2 linked regions of the Ovis aries genome follow. The protein of the gene in region 1 interacts with the protein of each later gene in a biochemical or structural test. Links are inferred from orthologs where the notes say so. Each region holds a gene or a part of one and is shown on either strand. Other genes may lie near its edges.

Evidence for each region.
Region 2: the proteins of TRIM24 (region 1) and RXRA form a complex in vitro, tested with the Homo sapiens proteins (3 studies listed by BioGRID). The link is inferred for Ovis aries from reciprocal best matches to the Homo sapiens genes TRIM24 and RXRA.

Annotation. Positions count from the first base shown.
Region 1 is NC_056057.1:103,687,305-103,691,118, reverse strand, and holds part of TRIM24 (transcription intermediary factor 1-alpha), read right to left. Parts: intron 2,430-3,814; coding exon 2,312-2,429; intron 1-2,311. UniProt on the Homo sapiens protein: Transcriptional coactivator that interacts with numerous nuclear receptors and coactivators and modulates the transcription of target genes.
Region 2 is NC_056056.1:1,860,833-1,864,646, reverse strand, and holds part of RXRA (retinoic acid receptor RXR-alpha), read left to right. Parts: intron 1-397; coding exon 398-567; intron 568-3,814. UniProt on the Homo sapiens protein: Receptor for retinoic acid that acts as a transcription factor.

The sequences.
Region 1 (3,814 bases):
TTCATTTAAAAGTGACAACCAAGAGTAACATATTTTTATGGAAAAAACACACACACACACACACAAAACCTTATTTTTATTTTCAAAAAAGTTTAGTGAAGAATGGCACTATTTTACATTTTCAAACAGTTCTTTAAAATGTCTGGCTTAATAGCGGTAACTGTTTCTGCATTATCTAATATATTGTTTAAATAGAAATACATGCAGAAAACCCAGCCACATATGGGTATGTACTTGGAAAAGGGAGACCTTTTATCACCTGAAGAAGCTTCAGACTACACTGTGAGAACTGCTATTGTATAATCAAAACAAAACACGCAAACCTGACTGTTCTCACTGGATGTGAGAACAATACCACAGAGTATTACTGACTCAGTTATCTCTCTATGATGTAGCAATTGAATGACAACAACAGCTAGTTCTTTACACCTTCATGGCGCAAATTGTGTTAGTTCTCTGATGGCGAACACCATGCTTTATAACTACACTGTTAAAAAAGAGATTAAAGGTACCTCTCACAGGTCTGGTCCAAGAGTAGGGCAAAGCTTGATTTCTTCAATAGCAGAGACTCAGTTAAAAGTTCCTGATTTACTAAGCATATGCATCCTTAAAGATATGGTTATCATTCATTAAATACTTACTCCACATTAGGTACCATGATAGGAGATCTATGTATATTGTTAAAATCCTTCGTACAGATAAGGGATCTAAGGTTCAGAGAGGCCAAACAACTTATCCAAAGTCACAAAGACACTAAACTGAATATGCGTCCAAGACACTACTTTTCCCTTGCACTCTTCTGTAACATGTTTCTCAGAAGCCATAAATAAACAAGTTTGGGAAAGTTGTATCCTTCTTAGAAGATTTAAAACGTCAATCTCACTTTAAACGACAATTTATAGAGCTATATATGACACCTCTGAAAAGTCCTACAGTAAAGGATACTGTCTTACAAATTCCTCACAAACAGGAGGTGTTTTTGTTTTTGCTGATTCAGATTTACCTAAACTATATTCACTTATGTGCGTACAGTTACATATTTTCTTAATTTTACCTATGTCTACATCATGTGGACTATGTTTTAAGTGATATGCTTATAAGTACATATAAGTCAACATGACTGTTACTGTGGATATAAAGCTGTGATAGATTCTCTGTATAGCTATATATGTGGTGGAGGGTAGAGTAGGGTAAGAGATAGTTATATACATGCTTTGTATTAAGATGCTTCTTTTTAGTTATATAGATGAGAATATGTATGATACCAGCTGCTGGCTATGTTTATCAATCAATAAATACGTACTTCTAAACTGTGCTGAGGAGTCACCTTATCATTTCTTCAAAGGGTCACATTACCATTCTTACTGTTCTCACATATGGATGAGATTTATGTAAGCCTATTTCTTCCCTTCTTGGAGTGTTCTGAGAGCACTGGCTCTCCTTCCAGCCAGTTCTTTCTTACCCAGAATCTAGCTTAGAGAATGAGAGAGCAACCCTATTTGATGATTTTGAAACAAAGTCAATAAGCCCCAAAACTGCCAAAAGGTGGTTAATGAAGAATGTATATGAAATTCTTATTTTTGTTTCTATAATTTCCCTGTGAGAAATTAAGAAAGGAGGCAAAAATTGAAGATTTTTTTTACTAGTACATAATGTAACAAGGACTGCCTGCAGGGATATGTGATGTTACCAAATGATACTGAAATTCCCCCTTTTTGATAACTCTAGTACTTCAAATTTGGGCAGTTATCTATATGCATGATACACTTCAATTAGGAGGTTAAAAATTATTTAATTATTACATAAAAGGAAAAACAAAAACAAAACACACAGAGAGAATTCCTCCCTACCAAGAAAAAGCAAATAAATGAGCCATTAGTACCTGACAACTGGGTCTCAAGAGTGAGTAAGCCAAGAATTGTATGAGAAATACTGTTTTAACAGAAAACATTCTAAAAAGTACTATATTAATGGCAGACACATGTAAAGAGTTTTAACAACTATTCTGATAAATATGTCACTAACAGCACAACTTGCTTGAGGAAGAAAAACAACTCCTAAATCCAGAAATCTAGACACTGAGTCAATAAAAGGATGTTTCATATCACCCACATATTTATATGTGTGTTTATATTCATGCATGTGTCACAAATATACACACACTAATGAAATACCAGGAAAAATCCATCTCTTTAAAACAAGATAATAAAAATATTTAGGGGGTAGAAGGGAATACATTTTCAACAATCTCATAATCATTAAGAGTTCCAGAAACAAATGGCACTTTGAGAAAATCTACATAACAGCCTACCTAAATTGATTATATTTTGAGCCCAGAAGCTAGGATCACAGTGAAACTGGATGGTATTGTTGGTCACTGGGGAAGCATCACACCTTGCTCGAAGGAGGTGCCGTAACCGGTACGTAATCTAGAAGAAAGCAGAGACAACTGAGCATCCAAGTCTTTATTAGGCAAATAATTTATCAAGTTCCCAACAAATACATAAAAAATGCTCTCTATGACATATATGCCAACACAAAACAAGTGTTCATAAGTAAGTTATAAAAAGTGGACAAACACAGTTTTTCTTCAAAAATGCGTTAGAGGTTTAAGTACAATTAGTTTTACTGTTGAACACAAAACAAACCTTTCCTAAAGTGACAGGTTAAAGTTAGTTCACTGAATTACAGAAGTTTCACAGATGTACCAACCACATATTTATAAAGTAAACTCACACACTGCTTTTATTTTACTCTTTCAAAGAAGGATTCAAAGTAGAGATTAGGGGGCTAATGGATTACAAAAAATACAAATGAATCTCTGCTCAGGACATTAAGTGCAGCCTTGACCAGGCCTGCTAGTAGGATGGCCCTTCTTGCTCCTGTGCTGTGAATCTCAGTCATCACACCACCTCCCACCCTCCTCCACACTGCAGTCCTCAGTGAATGCTCAGTCATTCTCTCAGTCTTTGAAGAGTTCAGCTCTTGGCTCATAATCACCATCTCCAATATTATTCCTGCCATAATCCTAGATGGGCCACAGAACTGGAAAAGCTCAGTTTTCCTTCCAATTGTAAAGAAAGGCAATGCCAAAGAATGTTCAAACTACCAGACAACTGTGCTCATTTCACATGCTAGCAAGGTAATGCTCAAAATCCTTCAAGCTAGACTTCAACAGTACATGAACCGAGAACTTCCAGATGTACAAGCTGGATTTAGAAAAGGCAGAGGAAACAGAGGTCAAATTGCCAACATCTGCTGGATCATAAAAAAAGCAAGGGAATTTCAAAAATAACATCTACTGCTGCTTCACTGACTCTGCTAAAGTCTTTGAACTGTGGAAAATTCTTAAGGCGATGGGAATACCAGACCACCTTACGTTTCTCCTGAGAAACCTGTATGCAGGATAAGAAACAATAGTTCCAACCAGTCATGGAACAACTGACTGGTTCAAAATTGGGAAAGGAGTATATCAAGGCTGTATATTGTCACCCTGCTTATTTAACTTCTATGCAGAGTACATCATGAGAAATGCTGGACTGGAGGAATCACAAGTTTGAATCAAGACTGCTAGGAAAAATATCAACAACCTCAGATAAGCAGATAATACCACTCTAATGGCAGAATGTGAAGAGGAACTAAAGAGTCTCTTGATGAAGGTGAAAGAGTGAAAAAGCTGGCTTAAAACTTAACATTCAAAAAACTATGATCATGGCATTTGGTCCCATTACTTCATGGCAAATAGAAGACGAAAAAGTGGAAATGGTGGCAGACTTTATTTTCTTGTCTCCAAAATCACTGTGGACAGTGACTG
Region 2 (3,814 bases), on another chromosome or scaffold:
TCAGCTGCATTGCCGCTTCTTCCGGAAGCTGTCCTGGCTGTGCCTGCGTCCATAACCCATGAAAGCCCATGAAAGGGCTTCTCACTCCACCTTGGGATCCCTGCTGAGCTGTTCACTTCTTGAGAGTGGGGCGCTGTCCTCCCTGGCCCTGGGTGGTCCTGGTGTGAACCGGGGTTGAATGAATTAGTGAGAGGCGGCACGCTCTGTTCTCAGAACACACAGCCCCCCGGGAGCGGGAGGCCGGGCTTGGGGCAGAGACGGGGCCGCGCTCTGGCCGGCCCCGAGCACCCTCGCTCTCCCTGGCCCTGGCTGGCGGGCGGGCATGCTGCTTGGGCCCCGGGGGCGGAGGCTGCCGCGGGAGCTGCGGGCTGACCGTGACCCCTTCACCCCGCCTCAGCCGTGCAGGAGGAGCGGCAGCGAGGCAAGGACCGGGGCGAGAGCGAGGTGGAGTCGACCAGCAGCGCCAACGAGGACATGCCGGTGGAGAAGATCCTGGAGGCCGAGCTGGCGGTCGAGCCCAAGACCGAGGCCTACGTGGAGGCGAACGTGGGGCTGAGCCCCAGCTCGGTGAGCACCCCCGCCCACGTCCGTCTGCTCTGCTCTGGGGATGGAGGCCCTGGGAGCGCGCCTGGGAGGGGGTCCCCGTCATCACACCCCCGCCTGGAGGGGGACCCCCTCATCACCCCCCACCTGGGAGCGTGCCTAGGAAGGGGACCCCCTCATCACCCCCCACCTGGAGGGGGACCCCCATCACCCCCTGCCTGGAGGGGGACCCCCATCACCCCCCCTACCTGGGAGCATTGCCTGGGAGGGGCTCCCCGTCATCACACCTCCACCTGGAGGGGGACCCCCCTCATCACCCCCCACCTGGGAGTGTGCCTAGGAAGGGGACCCCCCATCACCCCCCACCTGGAGGTGGACCCCCATCACCCCCCCTGCCTGGGAGCATTGCCTGGGAGGGGCTCCCCATCATCACACCCCCGCCTGGAGGGGGACCCCCTCATCACCCCCCCCACCTGGGAGCGTGCCTAGGAAGGGGACCCCCTCATCACCCCCCGCCTGGAGGGGGACCCTATCACCACCCCCCCATGCCCCTGCACCTCCATGAAGCTCTGCTGCCAGTCAGGTGGGCGAGTTTTCGGTTGTTGGGTTCACAGCCCAGGACTTTGACTCCCTTCCAGCTTCCTGTTACCTCTGGCCCATCGTGCAGCCAGGCCTGTGGGCAATACTGAGTCTCAGCGTCGTCTGTGTCTCCGTGTGGGTTCAGGGCGGCCCTGGGGTCCCCCTGGCCTCTCCCCTCCGTTCTGTCCCTGCCTCACGTGGCCTGGACGCCCTGCCCACCCCTGCCCCAGGGCCCTTGCTCGTGTGGTTTCCACTGTTCCTCCTTCGGCTTCAGCCTTGGAAAGCGTCCCTTCCTCGGGGAGCCCTTTCCCTCTCGACCACCTTGTGCCCCCATCATGGGGGCTCGGCGCCCTGACCCTTGGGGGTCACGGCGTGGCGAGTGTGGTGGTTCGCTGTCCATCCTCGCCGTTGGACTGTCCCCCTGTGACCGGCTGCGGTCAGGAACAGGGCCCTGCCTTGCCCGTAGCTGCTTGACCCCGACCTCCCCAGTCTCAGAGCACGGGGGTCCTGTCTTGCCTGCAGTCTCAGGACACCCCGCTTCCTTGTCCCCCGTGACGGGGCGCCCCAGGCTGCAGCCTCTCTCAGACCCCCACGCTGGCTGCCCTGCCGTGTTGCCTCATGTGTGCAGTGACCCCCGCCCTGGTTTGACCCTTGACAGTCCCTCTGGTCTGTGGCCCGACCCCACCTGACGGCCTCTCCAGTCCCAATGGGGAGCCAGGTTGCGGCGCAGGCCTCACGGTTGAGCAGAAGCCCTGAAGGAAACGTCAGGGGTCGACGGCGGTCTGCCGGGTTTTACTCTTGCCCAGTGAGGACACTGTCTGGGAGGAAACAAGTCTGCCTTCTGCGCACTCCAGGAATGCAGAACAGGCGGGCAATTTCGGGGACAGGCCGGTGGGCTGGCCGGCAGGGGCTCTGCCCTCCTGTGGCCACTCCTGGCGGATTGGCCTGGGTCCCCCTCTGGGGCTGGCTTGTTGGGCTCCTTCCCCCAGACCAGGGACACCTGTCTGCTCTGGTGGAGCCTCAGGTCCCTGCCTGGAGGCTCCGCCCTCTCTGGCAAGGGGCCAGAGCTCGTGAAACTGCTGCTGAATGAGGCCTGTTTTGTCTTTTTGTGGGAATAAGGCTCAGAGAATTTAAGTACCTGCCAGAGGTAGGATGGAGCCGGCTGGAGTTCAAGCTCCTCCCCCCGGGGAACCCCTTCCTCCAGGCCTAGCCCTGCATCTCCGGTGCAGGTAACCTTTGCCCCCAGCTTATTAGGTATGACCCGGCACCTGCCTCCGAGGCCCTGGCCTACTCCACCGGGCCTGCCCTGGGCCCCTTGGGGGCTCGGGGGGGCTCCCGCTAGTGACCAGAGAAAGCCCGGCCTCCGGGGCTTCAGCCCGGGACTGGTCGGTCCTCCCCATGCCTTCTGCCCGGCTCAGTGCAGCTGCCCGGACCCCCGCCATTAAGCCTGGCCTCCCACCCGTGGGCTGGAAGGGCATGGAGCAGGGTCCCTGAGGACTGGAGCCTGGCCCCAGGCTCTGGCTTGCTTGCTGCTGGGTGTATCGCTCGGGTGAGCCGGTCTCTGGTACAGACTAGCTCTGCTCGTGGCTGCGGTCATCCGGTGGACGGGATGGATGTGCGATGCCTGGAGGGTGTGCTGGGCTTGGGCACGTGGCCTCTGGGCGCCCCGAGTGCTGGGCTTCTGGTCAGTGCTCCTGGGTGGAGGCGGGAATGCTGTGTGGGCTGGCCCCCTGGGGCTTCGGTGTGCCGGTGACTTTGGGGGCGTCTGGGCGCTGGCGCCTTCCACCCCTTTCCCCTGACTGGCCATGTGCCCTGGAAGCCACTTCTCCCGCGGCCCCAGGTCCTCCTTCTGCACGCCGGTCCCATCTGCCCTGCCGACCTCGGTGCCCCACTGTCATAGGCCTCCCGAGAGAGCCCTCAGCAGGCCCTTCACGGCCGGATTGTTTAGACTGTGCTGCGCGGGAGGGCACATGGTTTCTATCAGGGAAGCCCCTCCAGCCTCCCCACCCCGTTGGGGGATGCCTGGCTCACGTGGTTCCTGGAATGAGGCGCTTCCGCTTCCGCTGCCTGGGCCCCACCCCCCAGGGCCTCGAGGCTTCTTCATCGGAGCCCCGTGGGCTGGAGCCTGGAGCCACTGAGGCTGCCCGGGTTCCCCCATTTGTGAGGATGGGCGTTCCTTTCTGGCTAGGGGCTTCCCAGGTGGCTCAGTGGTAATGAATCTGCCTGCACTGCAGAAGACTCGGGCTCGATCCCTGGGTCAGAAAGATGCCCTGGAGGAGGAAATGGCAACCCACTCCAGTGTTCTTGCCTGGAGAATCCCACAGACAGAAGAGACTGGTGGGCTACAGCCCATGGGGTCTCAAGGGTCAGACAGGACTAAATGACCGGGCACGCACGCACACTCCTTCTGACCAGAACTTTCTGGAAGGGCTTCAGATGCACCCTTGTGTGTGTGCCACGTCCAAATCTGGGCAGCAGCAGCACCACCAGAGGGGCTGGCACCGCCCACCCCCTCCCCACGCCTGGTCTACGAGGTCGCCTGGCGTCGGCCCAAGGGCTGCGGTGGGTCATGACACGGTGACCTTTCTGTGGCTGCTGGACAAGTGGCAGCAAGCCGAGTGCCTGAAAGAACACAGATGTCACTGCCTCACACGTCTCGAGGCCCGAAGCCTGAGATCTGTGTCCCTGGGCC